Linked DNA regions of Macaca fascicularis. The protein of the gene in region 5 binds, or shares a complex with, the protein of the main gene of each other region. Links are inferred from orthologs where the notes say so. Each region holds a gene or a part of one and is shown on either strand. Other genes may lie near its edges. The genes, in order: SNRPF, SNRNP200, LSM6, LSM5, PRPF3, SNRPD3 and LSM3.

Region 1 (2,682 bases), on a different chromosome or scaffold from region 5:
CAGAACATAACTGTGAGACCGGTTTTTATTCCACATTACGTTTTGTTCAAAGAACTTTTTTCTCCTTAGTAAACAAATCATATGCCCTTAGCCTGAATGTCAGTTCCCAATTTCTGTTGTGCCCTGTCTGTACAATCATTTTAATTTTTAGAGGATGTTTCAGTTTTAGCTACAATATGTGCATTTAGCTTATACTGACACCGAATTAACATGTAATTTATTGACTAAGTAAAATAAGACAGAATATTATTAATGCCAAGAAAATGTTTAATTTTATACATGTTAAAAGTGGCTCAAAAATAACTTGAAAACGTTGCATTTAAAAGGTCGCAGCTAATAGATAATTTTACAAGAAAAGGTCTGAAATTCACCTTCATAAAAATATCTAAAGCATATAATTATCCTTTATGGGGGAAAAAAAAAAAGAGTATTGAGCTTACAAAAGAAAAGCAACTTAAATGAAATTCGGTGGCTTTTAAAGCATTAGTTCTGTGAGTAATCTTTCCCAACTGGTTCAACATTTGAGCTTTGCTTGTAAATATCTGAATACAAATAGTTCGCAAGTCAAGTTGAAAAACAAACAAATCTTTATTGTCTAGAAATATATATATAAAAAAAAATCCCCAACAAAAGATGCTATTCTCTCATTTCCCCATCTTCTTCCTCTTCTTCCACACCTCTGATATAAAGGACATTATTACACCTGTAAATAGAAAAAGTCCATTTTGTTGTTCCAACCAGAATGATCTGAATTACTGTATTTTTATTATGAAAATACTGAATGCTATATTTACAATATTCTTGTCTTAAAAAATTTTTTAATATATTTGTTTTTAAAAAGAGTTTTACATAGACTTGTTGAAAAGCACATTGCACTTATTTTCCACCATATGGTTGTTAAAATGACACCTTTATGATTTTCCAAAGGAAACAATTACCAGAATTTGAAGCTTTGAAGCTAGTACAGAGAATCAATATAACAAAAATCCTTACAAACAGCCAGACCCAACTAAAATTCAAAACTAAGTTCTTGCAATGAAGGCCACTGCAAAAGGTTGCCACTGTAAAAGGTTATAGCTAAGAGCCAGAAAATTTAACACTAGAAAAATCTTTTGGCCAGTTCTAAAACATTTGAAAACTTACCTTTGACAAGTTTAACAATTTCAAAGACTTTTGAAGTCTAATTGTAAAGTATTATAATAGTAATTTTTTTTTTAAAGTACTTCCAAAATTGAGGCACTAATATATTTAGAACAGGTATTCCTAATGCTCACCAGTAACTCCTTACATATACCACTGCTGTTCGTTACCTTATTAAAACTTCACCCAGATGTCCAGACAAAGCTCCATCTATGTATTCTTCTGTATTTGCAAGCTTTCAATAAAAAGAAATAAATTAGTATAATCACACAGGAGGAAAATATTACAATACAGCTAATACTGGTGAGAGAACTTACTATGACCTTCCTATACCAACAACTCAAATTTATCTATAATTAATAAACAGAGGATGAGCTTTCTATTACTACTGTAGTACTTTTGGTTTCATATAAACCTTCAATAAAATTAATATTCATGGATATAGAACAAATATATAATAAAGTTTGTCTCAACATAAGCCTCTGAATCTCCCAGGTTATGTAATATTTCTTTCCATTAGATATCAAAACAGTGTGTGGAAGAAGGCAGTCTCTATGAATAAATTGTGATTAAAAAGTTTTCTGAAAATTCATTCTAAAGAACCAGACGTTAAGTTTTCTCAGAGTAAAACATAAATCATATTGAGGTGTCCAAATGGGTATACAAAAGCTATGGCCAGCATGCCAAATACTTTTATATTAGTCAGCAACCAAAGCAGATAACTGAGTTAGAATTTTCTTCTTTTCCTGTCTTTTAAGAAACAGGGTCTCCCTCTGTTGCCCAGGCTGGAATGCAGTGGCACAATCATAGCTGAGCAAAACCTTCAACTCCTGGGCTCCTCCTGCCTCAACCTCCTGAGTAGCTAGGCCTAAAAGCATGTGCCACAAAGTCTGGCTACTTCAAAACAATTTTTTTTTTTTGTAGAGATGAGATCTTGCTATACTGCCCAAGCTGGTCTTGAATTTCTGCCTTCAAGTGATCCTCCTGCCTTGGCCTCCCAAGGTGCTGGGATTACAGGCATGAGCTACCACATCTGGGCCTGAATAAGAAAATTTTTTAAAATTATGTACCAATAAACAGGGAAAAACAAGTTCTTAAGTGAAAGTTAAATAGTTAACAGTGACTTTTACAGTTATTTTGTTGAACCCTATTATTTCTAATTTTATATCAAAATGTTTAGCTTTCCTTCTACATATAGGTAACAATCTTTACTTGTAATTAAAAGAAAAATCACAATCAATGCCACCTGGGACTCAGCGACGACACTAACAGGAGTGAAGGGAGAGAGGGAGGTTTCCTTCACAACTAGGCATGTGGAAAAGGAAAAGAAAAACACGGCTTAACAATAAGGATCAAAATAGGATGTGACATAAGGCATGAAAAACATGTTAATGAACACTACTACTGGATGTTACTCCCTCTCTTATAGAAAACAAAAAGTAATCTTCATTATCCAGATGATAGTTTTGTCTGAAATATATGAAGTTGTTGAGACAATTAGTTTGTATGTAACGGCTATAAGAAATAATGTATTAAGAGCAA
Region 2 (3,850 bases), on a different chromosome or scaffold from region 5:
AGACTTCATCAACATACATCTTTGGGAAGGAAGAAAACCGACTGAAATCTTAAGAAACTCTAGACACTAAGTGTTTATTATGGTTCACTCTAGCAAAAGGCGGCTCAATAAATGTAACAGGACCTAGGCATGGGGAAGAAGCACTAACACCCAGAAGTAACCTTGCAGCAATGAGAAAAAGCAAACTGAACTTACATTAGCCGAGAGGGTGCAGCGCACAACAGCCTCATCCCCTTCCATGTCATCATCAGATGCCTCTTCTCGAACCTCCCCGTACACATCTTCATCACCTTCCTGTGGAAATGGCCCCAACTCAACCATTATCTGGAGCTGATCCTGCATCACCACAGAACCTCTCCCTCAAGTCACCCTAAATTAGCTCAATGGTTAGAGAAATGGCTTTGGGGTGAAACCGAGAGCCTACTGGAACCAAGGTCAGCCTTATTCCAGTGGACATGTAATAGAAAGACTGCTTGGCACAGACTTATTAGATGCACCTACTTTCTGTTTCTTACCTTAGGCTGCCACAATGGCAATCAACTGGACCATAGCCTTTTTCTAATACACAAACAATCAACACTCAAAAACAGTGATCAGCTAACAGAAGAGAAGAGCTATGCAGAGGCACGTCTGGGAAAGCAGATGGTGACTCGGGAATGAAGAGATCACACTAAGCTTGCTCACCACTCCATTTACTCATACACTGCACATTAGGCATACTTGGCACAGTGTCATAGTCAAAGCAGGTGCTTCAGTAACGAGCACTGCTAAATGAATGAACTGCTACAAGCAAAGCAGTTTGTTGCTACTTAAAATCATCAAATCCTATTAACTATACTGTAGGAAGTGGCTTAGCAAACACCTATTGAAATCGCCTCATTTTATAGAAAGAGAAACTGAGGCAAAATGACCTGCCAAGATACAGGACTCAAATTCAGAAGTCTTGGCTCCTAGTCCTCTAACTCTCCCCATGCAACCCCTTCTTCCAGCCCTGGTATATATACCAGGGATCCATTTTCCCTTTCAGGAGCCAAATCTACTCACTGAGAACTCTAAGGCACTCTGTAATTTTTTCAAAGTACCCCACTTATTCCTATTTATATTCAAGGAATTCTATTAGACGGTAAACATTAACTCCAGTGACTTAACCATGTACGAACTACAGCCATGCTCTAAGGCAAATGTGCAATCTTTTGAAACAGGCAGTGGGGACACAGTAATGAAAAAAGGGAAAATATTGTAATACGTTTAAAATGCAGTAAAACATAGCAGATACATTCTCAAAGTATTCACTGTACTTTATCTTTTGTCTTTCTTTTTGCTGATCCACTTGGTATATTTTAAATAATTACGTTGCTTTACATTTGTTAGTTTAAATTTGCTGTAGAAAAGTTAAAAGATAACTGCATTTTTTTTAAGCAAAAGAACATATAATGCCTAAGTCTGAAACCCACACACCACCATAAAATGTATCTGGTTTAAACTAGGGAGCTTCTTTACACTACAAGGGGTCCCTTTACCTTCATCAACTTCAAAAACAAGAATGGACTGGGCCTGTTTATCACTCACCTCCTCATCAGACTCAAACTGCACATTCACACCATATGTCTCATCAATGTTGTCATCTGAAACGACGAAGGATTAGAAAAAGAGGGCAGTGAATGGCTAGTAAAACAAGCCACTCTGGAGCCAATGTCCTCCCCAACTACCTCTCCTCAGGAAAGATCTAAGTGCTAAGGACACACACAGGCACTTAGATGATCAACACGAGAGAGCCACCTATGCTGCCACTGCCAAGACCTTCTCCACCTGCCAGCCCTGGAGTCAGCCCAGCTCTGCTTGCTCAACCACTTGAGCCCCCAAGGCTCTGCCCACATTTTCTCCCATATTCTACACAACAAAAGGGTCTCAGAGTAAGGAACAGCTGCTGAAATCTAGGGATTCTGGTGTCTATCAATTATAACTCTTCAAAAAACACACAACAAATTATGGGAACTCACTGACACTAAGGTTTTTAAATGAATGATGCTAGAAGATGCATACTTAGGGGTCAACAACAACCAGTTAACATGATCAGGACATAAAGAGCTCACTTACCCATATTTTGGATTTCCTTGTCTCCACCATAGTCGGTGATCTTTTTTCCCAAGTTCACTAGCACGTGGTATCTGGTATCATCTGTTTGACCCAGCAGCAGGTCAATCTCCTTTCGCCTTTCCTTGTCCCGCAGCTTTTCATTCTTTAGAACAGCTAGAACCTCATCAGCTGCCCCACAAAGGATATCACGTGGCTGGTAGCAAGAAACAACCAATCAATATTGAGAATGATGACAGACAGAACATCACCAACCAGGTTTATGTGGCGGCAGGATGCAAACAGCCACACTTTCTCAAAACCTGTTGCATACTAGGCTCTGATCTTTCTCATTAATGCTGATTTAAAATGCCACAACTAAAGGAAGACTCATCTGTTTTTAAAAAGATTAGCTAGGTGGCCTCAAGCAGCAGGACACAGCTTCCACAACAGCTTGCCACATCTCCAGGTGGCAGTCACTTGGCAGATCTCCTCTAGCCTGCCACACTTTTGTAATTCTTTGTCCTCACTTCCTCTAGCACCCACATCAACAGAGCTCCTCAGACTCATAATGGTCCCCAATCTAATCACACATGTGTAACGGTTAGGAACACAGATTCTAGATATAAACTATCTGGATCGTATCTTGGCTCTGCCAAATACTACTTCTGTGACTTGGGAAAATTACTTAATTATTCTTGCCTCACATCTCTCTTCTATAAAATGGAAAATGAGTATTAACAGCACCTATTCACGGAGTTACATGAGGGGGTGAGAGAAAGACACGTGCTGTTCCACACAAATCGAGTGCTCAGTAAATACAAGCCCCTTCTGCAGACCAGTACATCCCACAAGGGGATCCAGAGGCAAGGTTCATCTGGAGCCTCCCAGTTGTGACCCTCTCCTTTTCTGACACACGGTCTCATCCTCTGGCCGCCTCGCTCTGAGAATATAGAAATAAAGCAAACTTGGCCGGCTGTGGTGGCTTGCAACTGTAACCCCGGCACTTTGGGAGGCCGAGGCGGGTGGATCACGAGGTCAGGAGATCGAGACCATCCTGGCTAACACGGTGAAACCCCATCTCTACCAAAAATACAAAAAATTAGCCGGATGTGGTGGCAGGCGCCTGTAGTCCCAGCTACTCGGGAGGCTGAGGCAGGAGAATGGCACGAACCTGGGAGGCAGAGCCTGCAGTGAGCCGAGATCGCGCCACTGCACTCCAGCCTGGGCAGCAGAGCGAGACTCCAACTCAAAAAAAAAAAAAGAAATAAAGCAAATTTGTTTTTTCTATACTTTTACAACAATTAACACAGAAGGCTTCTGTGACAATTCCTCCCCACCAGCAACCAATCCAAAAATTGTGCAGTGGACACAAGCTGGTGTCCTCAAATTCAATTCCGTTCCAACACTAACTACCTGGAGATAAGAGTCAGATCCCACAGGCTGAGGACTCAGTCCCACAAGCCTGCCTTCCACTCCATGATGCCAATCACAAGCACAGGTTGTGTGACCTGTGCTTCTCACTGTACAGCTACAAATCGAGCTTTCCACAATCCCCTTTTGGGATTCAACTACTGTGCTAGAACAGATCGGGACACACTTACTTTTACTGTAAGGCATATTACAAAAGATGCCTACCAACAGACAACAGACGGAAGAGGTGCACAGGGCAGGCATGTGGCAAAGGGTATCATGTGGGAAAGGGTATGGCGCTGCCAGGCCCTCTCAGGCGCACCACCCTCCGGAAACCTCCATGTGTGCAGCTATCCGCAAACTC
Region 3 (4,503 bases), on a different chromosome or scaffold from region 5:
GCCTTCTGAATATGTTAAGATTCTCTGGTTAAATCTTGGGGAATCGCAATAGAGGCAGCGAGAAATCCAGTCGGAGAGTAGCAGCACTGGGGAAAAAAATACCTAACATGACAAAGTGCTGTAAATTAGCCTCAAAGAAATACAACGGACAAACGCAAAGAAAACTATCTCATGTGATTTGGGTTATGCCACTGGGCAGAAGACATGAAAATCCTTATTACTTGGCAATGTTTACCTGTAAGTTTTTACCTACTCCTAGCATATTTACAGTTTAGGGTGAAAAAAATTTGAAAAGCAAAAACTTGCAAGGAAACATTACAATCCAAGTAACTGCAGCACTAGACTAACAGATCAGTGTCTGAGGAGGCGATCAGACACGGAGAAGAACAGCTCTCCAAGTCCTCCCTTCTGACACAGTGGAGTGCCTCGCTGTCTTGTGAAGGCTTCATACCAATCCCTCCTTCCTGAGCAGCAGGCGCTACTTCTCTCCCTCTCTCCCAAAGGCGAAGTGAGTCCACTCAGCACCTCTTTCAACTCTCGGTCATGGTCCTTATCAGGCTGCTTTGTAATTTTTCCATTTGCTGACAGGTCTCCCATGGTGAGTTTTAAGCTCCTTGGGGACAGGGGAAATATCCTACTCACTTGGTATCCCTGGTACCTAAGCACACTGCCCAAGTCTGTGGAAGAGACATTCAAGGCCAGTGCCAAGCAAAATCCCTGTCCAGCCCCCACCAACCCAAACTATGGATACAGTGACTAGTAGGATCATGCACGTACTTCAACAAATACTAACCAAGTAATCTCTATTAGGACCACCAAAGACGGAGAAAACAACCCTTTCTGTCATTCAAGAACCAGCTGTTTCCAAATCTAGAGATGCTTGTTAAAATGCAGATTCCTGAAGTCTACTCAGGTAAAAGCACTGTATTTTACATTTTATGAAGTTCTCCAGATAATTTATTTAAGCAAATGGTTCTCAACTAGGGGCAGTTTCCCCAACCCCACCCCACCCTGCTCAGGGACATTTGGAAGTATCTGGGGACACTGAACTGTCAAGACTGAGGAAGGTGGTGCTACTGCTATACTAGTGGGTAGAGACCAGGGATGTTGCTAAACATTTTACAACAGGACCGCCCTCCACAACAAAGGACTGTCCAGCCCAAAATGTCAATGGAAGCTGAGAATCTCCGCTATAAGCCCTAAAAAAAAAAACCACCAACAACGTTGTTCTTTGGTTTTAAAGTGAGGAGTTTTAAAGAAATCTCCAAAGTACAGCAAATGATAACCAAAAGCTACATTCTAACCAAATGATGGAGTGTAGATTATAATTAATCAGGGATGTTTTATTCTAACATAAAGGGAACCTGAAAACAACTGTCAAAATCTTGAAGGGGTTGCCATTCTAAATAATGGATTTCTAGTCTTGGCCATGAAAATAATCACTTTCCAATTTCTCAGTGTTACAGGTCCCTCCGATCATTAATCTGTTAGTACACTTTTAAAAGGAGAGAATAATCCAGGTGATGTAAACAAATTTTTAAATTCTAATATCTACTATGCCAGAGTTCAGTGAGAGACTGCCTGATGCAGCACAGGGTACTCACTTGGGAGGCAGGAAACCTGAGTTCTAATCCCAGCTCTGCTACTTAATTAGCTGTGTGACTTGGATAACTCATCATTTCACTTCTCATGGCCCCAGGTTCCTCATCTGCAAAATAAGGGAGTTATGCCAGATGACCACTTAAGTCTCTTCCTGCCCTAACATTCAGGTAGTAACGCATTAACTCCAGTGACACACACACACACACACACACACACCCACAAACATAAGCCTCTCAAGATTTCTGTACAATATTCAAGCAAGTAAAATTGCCAAACACCTGAAAAACTTTTTTGGAAAACACTGCAGCAATGTGTACGAAGGCCTAAAAAAGGCCTTACAGATGAAAGCATCTAATCTGATAATTTCACTTCTGAGAATCTAGTCCAAGGAAATAATCTAAAAAATAGGGGGGAAAAGGTTTATCAAAGTATTATCTGGGGTGCTAAGAGATTCAAAAATTCAAAAACAATCTATAATATCCCACAATCGGGAAATGACTGAATAATTTATGGGACCTACATTGCGATCCACAATGAGGGACAGTCAATCAAAAGAAGATACAAAACTAGAATAATATTTAGGAAGAGTTTTTAAATGGAAGTGGTAAACTATACTGTTAAGTGATTAAACATGTACACTCTTAGCTCAAGTAGAAGCTAGCATACACAGGAGAAAAAGATTGTAGGTGAAAGGGTTGTGAATACTATTTCTTCACTAAAGTCTTCCATGTTTGCAATTTTCTACAATAGTCACATATTACTAAGAGCAGTGGGGTAGGGTAATCCGCTTCATCCTAATGCTACACATCTTAAAAACGCCTGCTATGCACGCGCGCGGACACGCGAACGCACAGAAAACCTCGGGCGATAGGACTTAAGACCATACAATTGGGTTCCTAGGCCTGACAACTCAGTAAGACAGGCGAGTCGAGTCCTTAATTCCTGTGGTCAGGCGCAGCCACCCCGATGTAGGGAAGGGTTCGCAATTCCCTGAAGCCCTGGAAGACTGGCGAAGCCTAGGCCTGGGTTCGGGATCCGCTTTCCCGCCGAATCCTGGGATTAGCCTCGGGGCTCCCTGGGGAACTTCAACAACCTGAACTGGTCTCGGACGCCAACTCGGTGGGAGCCGGGACGGTGCCGCTACTCTCTGCGCAGTCTAAGCACCTCGCTGAGGGCGGTCCCGGCGCCCACCATCAGACCTCTCCGGCCATTCCGTGCGCGGAGAGCTTGGACGCGGCATTTCGCGGGAAGCTGCCACTCAGCGGTCCCTTCCCGGAGCCCCAGCCCGTTCCCCTCAGGCCCTTTCCGGGGCTGCCTCGCCCGGCCTAGGGCAGCTGCAGCCGCCGCTCCACAGCGCGACTGAACACTGGGGCGTCGAACCCGGGGCTACGCCCGGCCCCGTCATCGGCCCGCGCAGCCGTGCGGCTCACCTCGCGGGCGGGATCCAGAACCCTCACTCCAGGCGCCCCACGAGTCCGGCCTCCGCGGATGATCGCAGCCAAAAGCGAAACCGCCGAGGCAGCGGCACTTTTCTGCCTCGGCCAATCACTGCTCTTCTCTGCTACGGCAGCCCGCTGGGGCCGAAAAGCCTGTCAGCGCCGAAGCGCGCAAATCCGAGAATCCTGTTTTGTCTAGTAGCAAAATTGGTGCACTGGAGTTCCTCTGACAGAAATCTGAATACAAAACAAATATAATATAAAACAAAAACAAAAATCCAGGAAACTAGAAGTGATCTTTTGTCCAGGATTTATTTGCAGAAGTGTAAAAAATAACTTGAAGTCATAGGAAACTGGAATTTACTGTTTAAGTAACGGCACTGTGTACCCAGAAACGTCCTTGAATAGTTTAAAGCAAATAAATAAATAAAACACCTCAAGTCTTTAAATCTACCTCTGGATATTGATTAAATGTGTGAAGACTTAAGCCATTTTAGCAAGAGACTGTTTCCATGGCAATGTTGATTAAAAAATAATTAAAATCACTCAAGTAACTCCGAATTATAATGACATTAATTGTGTTACATTAAAAACTTGTTCCAATTGGAAATGGTGTGCAGACATTATTTAAGTGCTACTATGGGAACTTGGTTTGGAATTTTGCATGAATTCTCAACACTTTCTATTAATGGGATTGGAAGGGGAAAAAAAGAGAACTGTTACCCCAAGACTTGATTCCTTTACTCTCATCAGCTGAAAACTTACTTTAATTTTATTTATGGTTTGTAACGCTATACACAAAGCAATAAGATCTTCCAACACAGATCCTTAACCCCATTAGGTGTTATAAAATCTAAGATGCAGAATTTTTTTCTGAGATAAAGAATTCCTCCCTTGTAACCTTCTTTTGGCTAAAGGCAGAAGAAATGAACTTTTGATTGATATCAGGGACAGAAAACAAGTGGATGTGATTTGGTAAAGAATAGAGACTTCCTTATATCCTTCTATAAAAGCTCAGTTTGGGTAAAGACCAAACAGTTACTGATTTATTGAGAGGACTGTATTTGAAGTTCTTGCAATATAAAATATAATATAAATAAAAATTTTAAGAAAAGGACTGTTTAAATCAAATAATTACTTGCAAAGTACAAACATAACAGGATAAAAAGGCCTGTTCCTAAAAACTTTCTTTGCAAGACATCAAATTGCACATTCCTTACTGGTTGTTTAAATTATTAAAAAAAATAAAATAAAATTTTGATTAAAACTTCTTTCCCTTTCCTACAGAGCCCTAATTGAGCTGTTAACACTAGCGTGGTGGGTAGGGAGCCATGAGGAGTTTTAAGGGCCTAGTTCATCTGCAGAGCAGCTGCAGCCTTCTCCAAGGGCAGTAGCTGGGTAAGGGCCCAGTTTGACACACGGGGTGGGCATCCTGAATTATTTCATGAGCTAACAAGTTTATAAA
Region 4 (3,850 bases), on a different chromosome or scaffold from region 5:
CAAAGAGGAGAGAAGGTAGAACACAGCTAATGTTGGGAAGGATATAAATAGTACTATGAAAGACACCTGGCACAAAGTTTTTTTTTGGCACAAAGTTTTTCTTGGCAACACAATATACACCCTTTGATCTTACACATTTTTTAGTTTATTCTAGAAAAATAAAAATGTATAAAGATCTAGTTAGACTACTGTGGTAAGAATAGGCTAAATAATTTATAGTAAATCCATTTAATATTATGTATACATTAATGTTGAAATATTTGACATGGAAAGATATTCACCATTTAAATTCAAAAAATGGCTTAAGTGGAGAATAAAAAATCAGGATGAACAAGTAAAATAAAATGTGTACTGAGAGTGGACTGAGAAAGTCTATGAAGACATACAGCAAAGCATGATCAACCTTCTCCTTTTTGCTTACTTATAATCCTACGATGTGTGTATATTACCTGTTTGTTTTTAATAGTTCTTTGACTTAATTTATACAGTTCTATGATCTTATTATCAGTTCCTTGATTTTACCTGAGTCCCAGAGTTCTTAGCTGTTTTTAGTATCCTTTACCTTAAAGCTCTGTCTCCACTAATTTCCTGGCAATTCAGTAATAATTACATTAAGGTAATAACCCTCTGAACCAATTTTATAAACAAATAGATAAAATTTGTATCTTTAGGGAAATTCCAATAGATAATTCCCGCATTTCTACAATGTGCATATATTACCTGTATATTGTTTGTTTTCAATAGTTGTTCATGGAATTTGAAATCAGTAGAAAAATCCTCATTACAAAACAACAGCATTTTAATTTAATTTTCTAAGTGATCATTTCCAGTTGTTTAAATGCACCTGTTCAAATCAAAGTTCATCATTTTGTCTGGAACGACTTTTGTTTGAGAATCAAATGGTCATGTAAATGAGAAAGCAAATAAGCATATAATGACAGAAAAGTAAGTGGCAAAATAACCACAATCTTTGTTCCACTGGCTACTGCAGTACAATAAATAAAATGACAATTAACCAAAAACACCTTTATTTTCGTCTTCAAAGAAGAAGCTCTTTTCTTCTTTTTCCAGGATAATCATGATTAACTTACAAAAATGGGTACACATCTTCAAAGCACTTCCCTTTAACGGGAAACTTAGCTTTACGGGATTTAAACATTAGAAGGTGGGGGAAAAAAATTCCATTTTCTTGTCATTAAAAGACAAAACAGAATCTAGCTAAGTCAAGAAAACTCATTCACACTTCAGGTCCTTCTCCTCCAGGAACCAGCTGCATAAAGAGGAAAAAGAGTTTATTAGTAACACAACAACCATGTCATCTAAAAATCCCTTGCTCTTCCTTAAGCCACCTTTGCCTGTCCTCTGCGCTCCACATTCCCATTTTCTCCAGATTGTCAATATCTATTCACAATTTCCAACATCATCAATTAATACTTACTATCTCAACAGCGATTAAAAATTCGAAGCAAACTAACCTTTAGACCCAATGCCTCTTCAATAGCTGAGCTTTAGGGCCCTGACCACAGAGAACACCCTTCCCATCTTACGCACCACTGGGCCATGATCATTTAGTTAAGCAAGCAACATTAAGGTTAGTTCTATAATCACTGCCCCAGAAAAATGGGCTCCCATCTAAACAAAACAGTTTCAATGTGTCTTACCATTGTTATATTATTTCCATTTAGCAAAATCTGATCTAATTTAGTAATCCTTCTTCCTTCTGGTGTGATTTCACTAAATGAATAGATAAAATACAGTCAGGATAAACAGTGAAAATCAAAGCCAACATTTTGGAAATACTTTCCCTCCCTAAAAAGGTGATCCTTGTATACAAATTACTCTGAGGTTGGGCAATTATATCGACAATTTTCAGTTACAAAGGTTATCCACTAGGTAATGTAACCTTCATTAAAAGCAACAGAATGAACTCACTGACCTAAGATCCACATCTGTCAGACAGAGCTTCATAAAAAGAAGCCAAAGCTTGCCCAAGAAATCAAATATGAAATGAAATGTTTTTTGGGTTTTGTTTTTTTTTTAAGAGACAGGGTCTTGCTCTATTGCCCAGGCTGAGTACAGTGGTACAATCATAGCTCACTGCAGCCTAGAACTCCTGGTTCACGGGATCCTCACCCTCCAGAGCAGCTAGGACCACAGCTGCCCCCCACCATACCCAGCTAATTTTTAAATTTTTTATAGAGACAGGGGTCTCCCTTTGTTGGCCAGGCTGGTCTCAAACTCCCAGGCTCTATCCTCCTCATTAGGCCTTCCAAAATGCTGGGATTACAGGGGTGAGCCACCATGTCCAGTCTAAATGCTCTTACTATCAGTTCCTTGATTTGACCTGAACCCTAAAATTCCTAGCTCTTTTATCTTCTACCTTAAAACTGTCTCCACTAATTGTCTAGGAGTTTACTAATAATTAAATTAAGGTAATAACACTGATCCAATTTTACAAGCAAACAGATAAAACTTCTATCTTTAAGGTTATTCTACCAACAGGTAATGTTTTCTCATAAATAATTTTACTCAAAAGTAGTAAAACTGTCTTTAATTAAGAAGAGATTCCCCCCCAATTCTTTAACACTACTCACAACTCAGTGACATCTTCCAGTACCATATCTGAAATTTGGTGTTAAGAAAACAAATAGAGAATTTACTCCAGCTTCTGCCTTTGTTCAGCTTTTCTTTTCTTTTCTTTTGAGACAAAGTCTCGCTGTGTTATCCCAGCTTAAGTGCAGTGGTACACTCACACCTCACTGCAGCCTCCACCTTTTGGGCTTAAAGGATCCTCCTGCCTCGGTCCCAGAGATTAGCTGGGCCCACAGGTGTACGTCACCATGCCCAGCTAATTTTTGTAATGTTTGTGGAGACAGGGTTTCATCATGTTGCCCAGGCTGGTCTCAAACTCCTGGGCTCAAGCGATCCACCCACCTTGCCCTCCCAAAGCGCTGGGATTACAGGTGTAAGCCACTGGGCTCGCTTGTTCAGTTTTAATTATAATGTTTAACACAACGGCTCAAATTCAAAATGTTTGTTGTTGATAGGAACTTTACCGTCTTTCAATACATACCTCTTAAAACATTATCATAAGTTCCCTGAAAATGAACTGATTTTATTATAATAATCACAAATATACTGATTGTCTATAGTTCTTACGTTATTAAATACTTAAGAAAAACCTATACCACCACCACCACCTTTTAAAAGGATACTGACAAAGTCATCAAATCCTAGAAGAGTACCAACAATTTCCTTATCACTCTTCATCACAATGTGAATTCTTGATCCTATACATTTGTCCACAAGTTCTGAGGAGGGAAAAAATATTATTTTACCATTCATTATTTCAACAAATATTTGAGTGCCTACTGGCACTCTTACTTGCATATAGTGAAAGAAAAACCAGGAAAAACATTCATTCAATAACTTTAGGTCTTATAATACAAATCTCAGTTTAAGCACAGCATCTGGCGCGTAATGAGGATTCCAAAAGAGTCTGTGGCATGAAGGAATGAAAACTTTTCAATCACGGCCACGACCACTAGTTCAATCACTCTTCACCAGCTACAAAAACATAAGAGGAGATAGGTATAATTATATTCACCGGAAACTCTGTCACTGCTTCCCTCCCCCAACTCTGTCTATCCTCTGTGCTCTGACGGCAGCTTGAACATCTCTTTTGCCAGCCTAGCATTATGTAGCAGGATGTCTACTTGTCCAGTATTCTCTCCTCCACTGGCTTGTGTGCTATTTGAAGGCAATGGCTATGGTTTAAGTTTATCGTTGAAAAATGCCCAGGCACGGTATCTCGTGTATAGATACTCAGTTACTACTTATTGAATGAATA
Region 5 (3,850 bases):
ACTAATAGTCTGGTAAAAAAAGAAGACTTCAGAGGGAAGACTTGGATAACCATAAACATAAGTCATTAACCCTCGCTATTTTACAAGATTTACTAGCTCTTGATCCACACTAGGGTCATTAAAAGAGAGTAGGAACTGGTGTCAGGTATGCTTTTAGGCCACAATGATTCTGCCTCAAGCACTTGGAAAATGTTTTAGTAATTCTAAGGGGAAGGTCGGCCCAGTATGGACACCTACCTATATACAGATATGTGTACCCCCTGTGAAATGTCTTCTTTAAGCTTTTTAATTTTCTTGACCTTTCTCTGTTCTGCTGTGAGTTTTCGGGCAGCGTTGGCCTCTTCATGCGCTCTGTCGTGACAGGAAGGACATCCACAAGTGAGAAAGGCATTGAAGATCAGAGGCAGGGCTGAGGGAAAGAGAGAGCAACGGAGAACTCTCCCCTCCCTCCAAATATGGATCCCCCAGAAGAGTTTGGGAAGGGTCCTTGCCCGGGGTTTCCACCCAATCCCATGGCACTTACTTCTGTCTTTTTGCCATCTGAGCTCTGACATGGGCTTCTACCTTCGTGGGGTCTTGAACAGCTTCTGTTCCTAATACTCGCATCAGATTAGAAATTCTCACTGCAGTGAAGAGAGGACAGCAGTCAATCTTTGAAGTCACTTCTCCAGCTGGAGTAACTTGCTATCTCTTCTACACCAATTCATATTATTTACCTATTTCAAATCTCTGCTTCTAAACTCACTTTCTCCAATAACTACTACCTTGAAAATCTAACCCAATCACTTCAGCATTTGCAGAAGTTCACACAATTAAGTTGAAGATTGGTACTTATCACAGCATCTAGTGAAAGAGTTTATAAATAACAGTCCTCAGTCAAAATATTGCTGAACGAGAATGTAACTACAGGGGCAATTTCTTTATCCTGCACTTTCATTGTAAAAATTAAAACATTAAGAATTATGTACATAAAAAGTCTACCCAAATACTGCAACTACTATCTCCATGAATTTCAAGACCTGTATTCTTCCAGGAAAACCAGAGTGTTGTATGATCAGTATGCTTAAAAATAAGCCTTAAATGGCCTCTATAATGAATGTGTTGACCTATCTTAATATGAAAAGATGGTAGAACACTTGGAGAAAAAAGACCCCAAGAATGATTCTTAGAAACAGAAATCACTCAGACATAGAGAGATGTTAAAGTTCCTCCAGAATTAAAGACATAAACTTGCCACTCTTTTTAACAGCAGAGGCCACTAAGAGATGTACCTTTGGGTTCTGGAGGAGGCATCAGGCCCAGCCTGACTTTTTCTTGTAGTTCCTTCTGTGCTTCCCTCCTTGTTTGTCTCCGAAGTTTTTTCTGTTCCTTCTTGGTAAGATATACTCCCAGAGTAACTGGTGTGTCATTGTCAACTGTCAGGGCAGAGATTAGTATACCAAAGCAATAAGAAAATTTTTTTTTTTTTTTTTTTTTTTTTTTTTTTTTTTTTTGAGACGGAGTCTCGCTCTGTCGCCCAGACTGGAGTGCAGTGGCGTGATCTCGGCTCACTGCAAGCTCCGCCTCCCGGGTTCACGCCATTCTCCTGCCTCAGCCTCCGGAGTAGCTGGGACTACAGGCGCCTGCCACCACGCCCGGCTAATTTCTTTTTGTATTTTTAGTAGAGACGGGGTTTCACCGTGTTAGCCAGGATGGTCTCGATCTCCTGACCTCGTGATCCGCCCACCTCGGCCTCCCAAAGTGCTGGGATTACAGGCTTGAGCCACCGCGCCCGGCCGCAATAAGAAAATTATATATATATATATATATATTTTCCCCCCCACTCTGTCACCCAGGCTGGAGTGCAATGGCCCGATCTCAGCTCACTGCAGCCTCAAGTAATTCTCCTGCCTCAGCCTCCCGAGTAGCTAGGATTACAGGCACATGTCACCATGCCTGGCTAATGTTTGTATTTTTAGTAGAGACGGGGTTTCACCATGTTGGCCAGGCATGAGCCACCATGCCTGGACAGCAATAAGAATATTAAAGAGACCTAGGTAAATATCAATATCATTAAAAGAAACTTTAGGCTGGACGCAGTGGCTTATGCCTAAAGCACTTTGGTAGGCCAAGGTGGGAGGATTGCTTGAGCCCAAGAGTTCCAGACCAGCCTGGACAACCAAGTGAGACTCAACTCTATTATAAACATTTTATGTAAAAAATATATTGAGGCCAGGTGCAGTGGCTCATGCCTGTAATACCAGCACTTTGGGAGGCAGGGACAGGCAGATCACAAGGTCAAGAGATCGACTCCACTAAAAGTACAAATATTAGCTGGGCATGGTGGCACACGCCTGTAGTCCCAGCTACTCGGGAGGCTGAGGCAGCAGAATCACTTGAATCCAGGAGGCGGAGGTTGTAGTGAGCTGAGATTGTGCCACTGCACTCTAGCCTGGCGATAGAGTGAGACTCCATCTAAAAAAAAAAATATGTGTGTGTGTCTGTGTGTGTGTGTATATATATATATAAACTTTAAATAGAAAACGGAAAAAACTTGTTAAGGGATCAGTAAGATTAAAATCAGTTCAGGCCTGGTGCCCAGCAGTATATTTTTAAAAAACATTCTTATCTTTTTTTTTTTTTTTTTTTTTTTTGAGATGGAGTCTCGCTCTGTTTTTTTTTTTTTTTTTTTCTTTGAGACAGAGTCTCGCTCTGTCGCCCAGGCTGGAGTGCAGTGGCCGGATCTCAGCTCACTGCAAGCTCCGCCTCCTGGGTTCGGGCCATTCTCCTGTCTCAGCCTCCTGAGTAGCTGGGACTACAGGCGCCTGCCACCTCGCCCGGCTAGTTTTTTGTATTTTTTTAGTAGAGACGGGGTTTCACCGTGTTAGCCAGGATGGTCTCGATCTCCTGACCTCGTGATCCACCCGTCTCGGCCTCCCAAAGTGCTGGGATTACAGGCTTGAGCCACCGCGCCCGGCCTGGAGTCTCGCTCTGTTGCCCAGACTGGGGTACAGCGGCACAATCTCGGATCACTGCACGCTCTGCCTCCCAGGTTCACACCATTCTCCTGCCTCAGCCTCCCGAGTAGCTGGGACTACAGACACCCACCACCAGGCCTGGTTAATTTTTGTATTTTTAGTAGAGACCGGGTTTCACCTTGTTAGCCAGAGGTCTCAATTTCCTGACCTCATGATCCGCCTGCCTTGGCCTCCCAAAGTGCTGGGATTACAGGCGTGAGCCACCGCGCCCGGTCATTTCTCGCTCTGTCACCCAGGCTTGAGTGCAGTGGCACGATCTCGGCTCACTGAAACCTCTGCCTCCCGGATTCAGGCGATTCTCCTGCCTCAGCCTCCCGAGCAGCTGAGACTTCAGGCACGCACCACCCCCTCCCCAATAATTTTTATATTTTTAGTAGAGACAGGGTTTCACCATATTGGCCAGGCTGGTCTCGAACTCCTGACCTCATAATCCACCTGCCTCAGCCTCCCAAAGTGCTGGGATTACAGGCGTGAGCCACTGCACCCAGCCTCTTTCTTAAGTAGTGTTCTTAGTTGTTTTCCTTTAAGCTGTTAAACTCCCTCATTCAATGATCCCTGGCAAATGCAGAAAACAAAATTAGGGCCAGGTGCGGTGGCTCACACCTGTAAACCCAGCACTTTAGGAGGCTGAGGTAGGAGGATCACTTGAGGTCAGGAGTTCAAGACCAGCATGATCAACATGACAAAACCCTGTCTCTACTAAAAGTACAAAAACTAGCCAGGTGTGGTGGTGGGGACCTATAATCCCAGCTACTTGGGAGGCTGAGGCAGGAGAATCGCTTAAACCTGGCCGGGGAGTGAAAGTTGTAGTGAATGAGTGAATGAAGATCGCG
Region 6 (4,280 bases), on a different chromosome or scaffold from region 5:
TCCCTGTGGCAGTCTTAAGGGTGTGCTGCTCAGATCTCCCTCCAAAAGAAAACAGGCTATGAGGAGTGAAGGCAGCCGACAATCTCCATCTTTGCAGTCCACCATGGCATTCAACTTGGGGAGAGAGGCTGTCTCCCCAGGCTGCCAGCCAATGGAATGAACACACCAGGGGTGCCAGTCTGCCCATTTCTGCCCCATGTTAGACTCTTCTAATGAGCAATCACTGCCTTGCTGAGACTTCCTCAAAACTACACTGTAGTCTAAGGTTCTTCCTGCTCAATCCTCCTTCTTTCCCCTCTCGTTTCACCAGTCAGACCAGCATCACGGACTGAAAATTTCCCTGCCTACTACTGTTTCCTTGTTCCTTTATCCTTTATTGTCATTTCCCCCAATAAATACCTTGCATAATTCTGTCTTGGCATCTACATCAAAGAACCCAAAATAATAACACTCCCGTTTTACAGATGAGAAAACTGAGTGATTAATACATCTAAGGTCATATAATTAGGAATCAAACCCACATCTCTCTCTGACTCCCAAGTCCAAGTTCTTAACCAATGGTTTAAAGAACAAAGAAAGTGTGAAGATACAACTGAAAAACAATGCTATAAAAATTCAGATGACTATGCAAAAGGCAAAGCTGCGCCATGAGAAGGACACCGTATCAAGAAACTACTCCATTATTTACTATCAGAGTGATGAGTCCTTTAATCTCATTCTCCCTATTTTATGGATGACAAGACTACCACCAAACCTGCTTACCTCACAAGGTAGTTGCAATAATCAAATGAGACTCCTCCTCCAAGAGAAAAGGGAAACAAACACAGTATGTGAGAAGATTCTCCTAACTGCAAAGCAAGTGGAGGCAAATGGATAATGGCTCTGAACCTGAAGGATTCTACTGAAGGAACTTCTCCCAAACAGGTCCCCAAATTTGGGGATGGAAAAAACAAAAAAGGCGAAGTAAAATATTCCAAATCTCCAAATGGCTTTTCTGCCTCAAGACTATGTGTTTTGTTCATGCCCACATCCCCAGAGCCTATAACAGCACCTGACTGGTATGTGTTAGGCACTCAGGAAATCATTGCTGAATGAGAACAATTTACAGAAGACCCCCAACCCACACCTTTCTGTCCTTCAAGACACAGGGCCATTCCTCCCACACAGCCTCACATGCAAAGCAGAATACCTGGCAGTTCATGTTGTCCTCTGCTTCAATGAGCTTCCCCCGATATACCTCACCGGTGTTCGTCTCACATGTCACAATGTGGCCCTCGGCCTCGTGCAGCACTTTAATTGGCACACCAATAGACATCTTGGCAGGAAGAGAGCTCTACAGTGAAAGAGACAACAGTCAGTTCATCTTTCAGAGTCTGAGAAGGCATGCGGCACACGTCATGCCTCCTTCAAGGCCTGGCACTCCATAAAACTTAGCAAAAACGCCAAAGCTGCATTTTCTATCAAAGAAAAAGAAAAAAGAAAGCTCAGCTCCTGGCTTGGAGGAAACTATCTGGCAAATATGTGCAAGATGTCGGGTGAGGAGGAATGGTGGGGTGGACAGAAGTAAAAATAGGAATGAAAAGAGAGCATCTCCCATCGACCATGTGTCCCTGCTACCCTATGTCCCTTAATCTTCAGCTAAAGGACCATTAGCGAATACTGTGTGTGTAGGGGAGGGGGATTGGAATGTTAATCTGTTGCACTGTTATTTGTCAACCCTTAATTGTAGATTATTATATTTTGAGAATCATAACACAGGCCTGAGCTGTCCAATACAGTAGCTCATGTCCACATGTAGCTATTTAAATTAAACTTAACTAAAACACAATAGAATTAAAATAAAAAACCCAGTCCCTCAATCCCAGTGGCCATATTCCAAGTGCTCAACAGCTACATGTAGCTGGTGGCTACCCTACGGAAGGAGCAGATACAGACCTAAGGACCATGCATATCTAGGAGAGGAGACTGTACTTTTAATGCAGCTCTTTAACCCTTCCCTTACTTTACCATCAAGGATATTGAGAAAATATCGAAGTGACAACGTGCTATATGCAGGAAATGCCCGTCATGGAGGAAAATAAGGGAAAGCACCTGACTTGACCTAATTAAAAGCATCAAGTAGTGAACTTTTTATTGACATGAGCGACGACTCAAAGTTGGAACCTAAGTGCACCTAAGACAGGAGAACATGAGGTTGAAAAGACAGGCTCCTTTGGTGAGGATCCCTGGCTTTCAGCCTTAGGAGCCTAGATTTTATGCTGAAGATAGTGGGGAACCACTGCAAAATTATAGGTAAAGAATGACACAATGAAAAGGTAGCAGCATTTATTTACAAAATGGATCTAACGTAAGGTTTAGAAGCAGAGAAACTTGTTAAAATTTCTGCAACAGTTAAAACTGCTGCAACAGTGTGGAAAGCATGACGGGACCACTGCCTGAAAGGGAGCTGGGGGCAGACATGCAAAGAACTTTTTAAAAAATGACCGGCTGGGCGCGATGGCTCACGCCCGTAGTCCCAACACTTTTGAAGGACGAAGCCGGTGGATCCCTTGAGCCCAGGAGTTCGAGACCAGCCAGGGTAACATGGTGAAACCGTCTCTACTTTAAAAAAAAAAAAAAAAAAAACCCTCATAGGATTTGACTTCAAGATTCAAAAAACTCATAGGAAATAACTTCAAGATTACTGCCTGGAAACTTTGAAAAACACTCACCTGGAGAGATACAGAATGTAAGAAGCATGCACATTGAGGGAGCAGCTAATGAACTTACTTCCAGGCGCTAGTGAGGCGACGCTGATGTTTGGGTGGTCCAAACTTCCCGCTTTCTTCCCTCCCCGAATCCCGCAGAGTTCATGCATTGAGTCTTTCTCCAGCCCCCGGCCCCTCACAGGCACCTCGACCTCCCCTCGCCCGTCCCCAGCCTCACCGGTTCTGGCCTACTTTTCCTTCTCTTCGGTGCACGGCGAAAGCCGCTACGGCGAAGGCGTGAATCAAGAGAATGGCGGGCCCAGCTCCCAGAATTCCACTCGTTCCCAAAATGCTGCGCGCAGGGCCCGCCTCCTTCCTTTCCCCAGTGGTGAGAGCGGTGTCGCCTCCGCTTCCTCCTCACCCCGCGTGCCGGCTGGGAAACTAAGGCACCAGTACGATAGTTCCGGCACCGGAAAAGAGGGCCGAAGACTGGGCCCGGGGACCGCCGCAAACAACGACCCTTGGGGCCGGCAAAGAGCCAGAGAGGGTGCTTGCACTTCCAAGCGCCCCACACCAAGGACAGGCTGGACGGCAAGGCGGAGACTCGGGGCCTGGGCCCTCAGACCGGGGGCAGCAGGAGGTTGGGCCAAGGGCCAGGACTTCCCCTCACAATTTAATTTTTTGATCCCAGCACCGCCAGGTAAGGGGCGCCCTGAGTGAGGCTACGTATCTCGTACGGATAAAGTTAGGTATAGAGTAGAGAGGAGGCCGGCTCAGGGTCATCCCTAAAGGCAGTTTAAGGAGAGTTGTTTGGAGCCTCCGGAATACACTGGGCCGGACCAGGGTTTACAGCTAAGACTGGCAAAGGAGCGGGCCCCGGCAGAGGCGGGGCTTGCTGAAGGGAGGAGCCTCTGTTCACGAAATGCACGGGCTTTGGGGCGGGGCTCAAGGAAAGGGGCGGAGCTTCCGGGTCCGCGTCTTGTTGGGCTTCGCGGCTGCGCGAGGATTGGACGAGAGGGCTGGGTCACTCGACGCTGAGGCGGTGAATGGCCGGGGCAGATTTAAATCGGGAGGCTGGGGGCCTCTAGGATCAAAGTTTGGGGCGGGGCTTAGAGAAAGGGCGGGGCCTCCAGATTCGAGACCTGGAAGGGCTGGGGCGGGGCTTGGGGCGGCCCAGCCACCGCCTCCGGTTCTCCCCTCCGCAGCGGCGGCGGTGGCGGAGAAGGAACTCGACACGCACCGACCGCCCTACCGCCCCAGCCGAAGCGGAAGCTGTAGCCCGCTCTGGGCCGGGGCCATGGGCGCCCCGCGCCGCCCGGGTCATGAGGACGGAGGCGGAGGCAGCGGGGCCGCCGCTCGAGCCCGGTCAGTGCCTCTCTGTGGGCCCAGTCTTCACCCTAGGAACGAAGGGGACCCCGCCCTAGCGCGGGGCAGGGTCCAGCCGCGCGACCTTGGGCCGACTCCCGCCTCACCCCCACACCCGCCTCGCTCCAGTCAGTGGGGGTTTCCTGACACTGGCAGGATTGCGACCCTTGTCCGCATGGTGGGAGGGTCCGGGTAGAAGGGGCGCCACCTTCCCCAGAAGCGAAAAGT
Region 7 (4,366 bases), on a different chromosome or scaffold from region 5:
ATGGAAACATGGGTGATTTTCCACTACCCTCTCTTCCTTCAAAATACCTTTTCACTCTGGACAGGTTTTACATTTCAAGGGAGTGGGGGTGGGAAGGAATCTGATTTCAAGGTAACTTGATAAATTTACTCACATGTAATCTGCCTCGAAGCTCTCGGTCATTTCTCATCTTCACATAAATTCGCTCATCTAGGCTGAGCCTGATAAGATCCAGGGGCTCCTCTACAGTGTTGGTAGTTTGTTGCTGATAACAGAAACAGGTTTAGTAATATAGTACTAGAGATAAAGTAGTGCTTAAATCACTGCTATGCTGTATGACCATGTGCAAGTTATTTAACCTTTTTCTGCCTCAGTCTCCTAATCTGTAAAATGGAGATAATAGTGTCTACCTAATACTGTTTTTATGAGGCTTAAGTGACATATATGAAGGCTTAGAACAGAACTTTTCACATAGTATGTGCTATATAAATGTAGATTAAAACACGCATACATAAGAAGGAGTTACACAGCAAAATAATCATGACTATACTTTGTTCCCTCAAAATCCAAACTGCCTGACCCGATTTCAGGGTATAGGGTCTTAGGAACTTTAGCTTTATCTCAAATATTATGTAATCATAGGAAAAACACTCACTTAATGCCTACCATATACTAGTCAGAATGCCAAGTAGAGGTGTAGGTTTATGGGAAGATTATGAATTCAGCACAGGTTGAGGTTAGGCTGCCAACTGGCCAGTAAGATGAATATTTAGTAGCCAGAATAGAACACTGGTTCAAAGCACTGGCTTAGCCGGGCATGGTGGCATGCGCCTGTAGTCCCAGCTACTCCGAGGCTGAGGTGGGAGGATTGCCTGAGCCTGGGAGGTGGAGGTTGCAGTGAGCCAAGATGGTGCCAACAAGCAAGCAAGCACTGACTTTGGAGTCAGGCAGTCTGGGTTCAACTCCTGGCTGTGACCTGACACTTATGAACTGAGATTAAAAATCATGCCATCTGTAATTCTCAGATTCTTCATTTGTAATTGAGAAAGCCACAACCTTCCTTCTGGATTCTTATGAGGATGAAACTAGTTAATGCATTTAAAACAGTGCCAGGAAAGCAGAAAATATTAATACTTAGAAACGGTTCCTTTTGGCTGGGCGTGGTGGCTCAGGCCTGAATTCCAGCACTTTGGGAGGCTGAGAAAGGCAGATCACCTGAGGTTAGGAGTTTGAGACCAGCCTGGCCAACATGGTGAACCCCGTCTCTACTAAAAATACAAAAATTAGCCAGGCGTGCTGGCACGTGCCTGTAGTCCCAGCTACTTGGGAGGCTGAGACAGGAGAATCGCTTGAACCAGGAGGCAGAGGTTGCAGTGAACTGAGATCACGCCACTGCACTCCAGCCTGGGCGATAGAGTGAGACTCCATCCAAAAAAAAAAAAGAAAAGAAAAGATTCCTACTAATATTATATTATTAAAGAACTGCTGGAAACACTGGTTTTAGAGGTCAGGGCTAGGATGACTTGGGGTCACCCACATGGAAGGGAGGGTTGCAGCCATTAAAGAGTTAGATGATTCAAGGAGAGCTTCTTTAGTAAGCACACAAGGCCAGTGGAGGAAGGTAACTGAATTCGTAACAGGCGCTAAAGATTCAAAAGGCCCGATGAGAGAAAAAAAAATAACCTAACTCAACTGGTCCCTATGTCCCTCAGTTCAACAGGTGTTTGTTAAAGGATCTGATAACCAACTGTTAGATTACAATGATACAGAAGTCACAATCTCCACCCTCAAGGAGCTCATTCTAATGTGGATAGGCATATGAATAATTATAATACTGTAAGAATATGCACATGACAGAGCTCTACTGCTACCTAAGCCTCTGTCTGGGATGCCCACTTTCTGTTCTTTTTCATCCTGTAGCTTTATACATTGGCTTTTAAAAGAGGCCTCCTCTGATCATCTAACTCATTCACTCAAATATTTGTTGAGTATTTCCAGCACTGTTCTAAACCCCAAGGACAAAAGAATGAACAAAACAAAATGCCTACTGTTATGGCACTTACATTCTAGTCAGGAGAGATACACATTAAACAAAGATGCATACATTTAATATGAAAAAATAACGTTCTATGAAGAAAAATGAGGCAGGGTAAGCAGAGTAGGGGGAGTGCTATTTGGGCAGAAGTCCTCTCTGAGGAGGTGAGATTTCAGTAGAAAGTTTAAGTTGTAGCATGATCTCCAAAGATATTTGAGGAAGAAAAAGACCAGGTGAAAAAGCTTCTAGGACCATCTGTTATTCTGCATACCAGTTCCTTGTTTCCTTCATAGCACATCACAGTTCCTATAAATCTTACATATTTATATTTATCTGTTCTCCTCGCGAATATAAGCTCCAAGTCATGGCAAGGATCACTTATATATCGATGTCAGTGTCCCTGGCTCTTAGAACAGTGTCTAACCATACAAAGCTGATGTTCACTCTCTCTGCTGAATGAGTAAATAATTGTTGTGCTCAGTAATAACAACTCCTAACTTTATTATCTGGCTTTCTATTGGAATCCTGACAGCTCCGTGAGGTAGGCACGCATAATAATTTACAGATTTAAAAAAACAAAGCGAAGAGTGTGATGAATAGTCATCAGGTGGCCTTCTAACGGAAAAGACCTCAGGGCCTGCAGCAAAATTCGGACAGGGGTGTTTACGGAAAGGATGGGGCGGATTAGGCCGTGTGACTTGGAAAGAAGAGGCGCGACTGGCCATTTTTCCTGCGTTTGGAAAAAGCAGTTTAGTACAAGAAGCGGCGCCGAGCCACCGCCTTAAAATTCACTCACCTGGTCTACGTCGTCCGCCATGTTTCAAACCCTGCGCCCTTTCCCGCCTCTCGCGAGAACACAAGAGCAACGCCGAGCTCCGGAAACGTGATGCTACAATACACCGGAAATAGAAACCTGCTGTGCTCTTGCCTGCTTCCCGCGGTTTTTTAGTGGCCACGGGTATGGGGCGGAGCTTCCTTTGGGGGCGTGACTAGGCCTCCAACGAAGGGGCGCGGCCAGACGCGCCCGCCTCGGGGCGGGGCCTGCGTTCTAACGCATCGCGGCCTGGTGCGTCACTCGCGAAGTGGATTTTTCCCCGACAAGCAATATGGCTCGGAAGCGCGCGGCCGGCGGGGAGCCGCGGGGACGCGAAACGCGCAGCCAGAAGTCCAAGGCCAAGAGCAAGACCCGGCGTGAGGAGGAGGAGGGTGAGAGCGTGGCCCAGCGGGCTTCGCGGGAGACTCTGCCGGTGGGCGGAGGAGGCCCAGAGGCAGGGGCGGCGGGAGTCCAGACGCGGAGGCCGGGTGGAGGTTGCTGCGCGCGTTCCGCGCAGTGGGGGCAGCACGGCAGGCCGCGGCCGGCCCTCCCCGCTGTCCCTGCGCCTTTGTCCTCTGCACCCAGAGCGGCTTCCCGTGAGCCTCGCCCGACCCAAGCTCCTGCGTAGCTTCTTTCCCGCTCCCCGTTGTCCAGAGGATACAGCGCAGATGTTCAGGGTTGAACGCGGAGAAGGCAGTTATTTGTGTCCCAGGAAAACGGACGGACGGACCAGGACGTAGAGTGATGCAGTGTGCTGACTCCCGAATGATAACTTCAGCTGAGTCTCGCCCAGAGTTCCACAGTGGGATCCCACCTGACTTCCCCTCGTGGATATTGGATAGGCTTCTTACATTTGTCGTGGACAGTGCAGAGCTCATGGTCTTCCCCTTCAAATCTATGGTTTCCTCCGTTTTTCCAGTCCCAATACTTGTTATAAAACAAAGTCCACCTTTTTCTTATGTGCACACATCCAGTCCCGTCAGCAAGTCCAGTCAGTTCAGCCTCAGACTGTATTTCAAATTTGTCCACTTCTCTTCATTTCCATGGCCACAACCCCTGTCCAAGTCACCATCACCTTTCAGTTGAGTGACTGCAGTTTCCTCTTGACTGGCCTCCCAGCTCTGCATCCAGCAACGCAAATAATCTTTAAAAAAAAAAAAAAAATCATGCCATGCTCCTGCTTTAAACTCTCCTTGGTTTTCCATTGCTCTTAGTTTAAAACCCAGTTGTCTTATCCTGGCCTGCAAGATGCTACGTGTTTTGGCTCTTGCTACCTCTCCTGTTTCTCCTACCACTTGTTTCCTTGCCAGATACCCTCCTCATTGGCCTCCTTTCTCTTCCTCAAATATGCCAAGTTATTTCTTGAGCCTTTTCCTTTGATATTCCTTCGGCCTAGAGTGACCCCCCACCATGGCTTTTGCCAGGGCTGATTTCTTCAAATCTCAAGTCAGACATTCCTTGAGCAAACTAAGGTAGTCCTTCCCAGATACCCCGTGGATACTAAAACCTGTGATGCTCAAGTACCTTGTATCAAATGG

Evidence for each region.
Region 1: PRPF3 (region 5) and SNRPF share a complex: the UniProt entries of both Homo sapiens proteins name them as parts of the U4/U6-U5 tri-snRNP complex. The link is inferred for Macaca fascicularis from reciprocal best matches to the Homo sapiens genes PRPF3 and SNRPF.
Region 2: PRPF3 (region 5) and SNRNP200 share a complex: the UniProt entries of both Homo sapiens proteins name them as parts of the U4/U6-U5 tri-snRNP complex. The link is inferred for Macaca fascicularis from reciprocal best matches to the Homo sapiens genes PRPF3 and SNRNP200.
Region 3: PRPF3 (region 5) and LSM6 share a complex: the UniProt entries of both Homo sapiens proteins name them as parts of the precatalytic spliceosome. The link is inferred for Macaca fascicularis from reciprocal best matches to the Homo sapiens genes PRPF3 and LSM6.
Region 4: PRPF3 (region 5) and LSM5 share a complex: the UniProt entries of both Homo sapiens proteins name them as parts of the precatalytic spliceosome. The link is inferred for Macaca fascicularis from reciprocal best matches to the Homo sapiens genes PRPF3 and LSM5.
Region 6: PRPF3 (region 5) and SNRPD3 share a complex: the UniProt entries of both Homo sapiens proteins name them as parts of the U4/U6-U5 tri-snRNP complex. The link is inferred for Macaca fascicularis from reciprocal best matches to the Homo sapiens genes PRPF3 and SNRPD3.
Region 7: PRPF3 (region 5) and LSM3 share a complex: the UniProt entries of both Homo sapiens proteins name them as parts of the precatalytic spliceosome. The link is inferred for Macaca fascicularis from reciprocal best matches to the Homo sapiens genes PRPF3 and LSM3.

What each region holds. Positions count from the first base shown.
Region 1 is NC_088385.1:102,898,288-102,900,969, reverse strand, and holds the end of SNRPF (small nuclear ribonucleoprotein F), read right to left. Parts: intron 1,376-2,682; coding exon 1,311-1,375; coding exon of another isoform or gene 1,307-1,310; exon of another isoform or gene 1,275-1,306; intron 704-1,274; coding exon 637-703; 3' UTR 565-636; downstream 1-564. UniProt on the Homo sapiens protein: Plays a role in pre-mRNA splicing as a core component of the spliceosomal U1, U2, U4 and U5 small nuclear ribonucleoproteins (snRNPs), the building blocks of the spliceosome.
Region 2 is NC_088387.1:1,383,299-1,387,148, forward strand, and holds part of SNRNP200 (U5 small nuclear ribonucleoprotein 200 kDa helicase), read right to left. Parts: intron 2,291-3,850; coding exon 2,098-2,290; intron 1,626-2,097; coding exon 1,570-1,625; intron 295-1,569; coding exon 196-294; intron 1-195. UniProt on the Homo sapiens protein: Catalyzes the ATP-dependent unwinding of U4/U6 RNA duplices, an essential step in the assembly of a catalytically active spliceosome. Plays a role in pre-mRNA splicing as a core component of precatalytic, catalytic and postcatalytic spliceosomal complexes.
Region 3 is NC_088379.1:151,030,113-151,034,615, reverse strand, and holds the start of LSM6 (U6 snRNA-associated Sm-like protein LSm6), read right to left. Parts: upstream 3,109-4,503; 5' UTR 3,033-3,108; intron 1,709-3,032; 5' UTR 1,605-1,708; intron 1-1,604. UniProt on the Homo sapiens protein: Plays a role in pre-mRNA splicing as component of the U4/U6-U5 tri-snRNP complex that is involved in spliceosome assembly, and as component of the precatalytic spliceosome (spliceosome B complex).
Region 4 is NC_088377.1:97,820,309-97,824,158, reverse strand, and holds the end of LSM5 (U6 snRNA-associated Sm-like protein LSm5), read right to left. Parts: intron 3,568-3,850; exon of another isoform or gene 3,391-3,567; coding exon of another isoform or gene 3,312-3,390; coding exon 3,216-3,311; intron 2,623-3,215; coding exon 2,595-2,622; intron 1,735-2,594; coding exon 1,662-1,734; intron 1,271-1,661; coding exon 1,238-1,270; 3' UTR 782-1,237; downstream 1-781. UniProt on the Homo sapiens protein: Plays a role in pre-mRNA splicing as component of the U4/U6-U5 tri-snRNP complex that is involved in spliceosome assembly, and as component of the precatalytic spliceosome (spliceosome B complex).
Region 5 is NC_088375.1:110,918,324-110,922,173, forward strand, and holds part of PRPF3 (U4/U6 small nuclear ribonucleoprotein Prp3), read right to left. Parts: intron 1,416-3,850; coding exon 1,272-1,415; intron 624-1,271; coding exon 524-623; intron 410-523; exon of another isoform or gene 352-409; coding exon 238-351; intron 1-237. UniProt on the Homo sapiens protein: Plays a role in pre-mRNA splicing as component of the U4/U6-U5 tri-snRNP complex that is involved in spliceosome assembly, and as component of the precatalytic spliceosome (spliceosome B complex).
Region 6 is NC_088384.1:28,879,515-28,883,794, forward strand, and holds the start of SNRPD3 (small nuclear ribonucleoprotein Sm D3), read right to left. Parts: upstream 3,015-4,280; 5' UTR 2,926-3,014; intron 1,334-2,925; 5' UTR 1,316-1,333; coding exon 1,190-1,315; intron 1-1,189. Other genes in the region: protein GUCD1, read left to right, coding at 4,010-4,052. UniProt on the Homo sapiens protein: Plays a role in pre-mRNA splicing as a core component of the spliceosomal U1, U2, U4 and U5 small nuclear ribonucleoproteins (snRNPs), the building blocks of the spliceosome.
Region 7 is NC_088376.1:152,442,802-152,447,167, reverse strand, and holds the start of LSM3 (U6 snRNA-associated Sm-like protein LSm3), read right to left. Parts: upstream 2,873-4,366; 5' UTR 2,832-2,872; coding exon 2,811-2,831; intron 245-2,810; coding exon 134-244; intron 1-133. Other genes in the region: XPC (DNA repair protein complementing XP-C cells), read left to right, coding at 3,121-3,220. UniProt on the Homo sapiens protein: Plays a role in pre-mRNA splicing as component of the U4/U6-U5 tri-snRNP complex that is involved in spliceosome assembly, and as component of the precatalytic spliceosome (spliceosome B complex).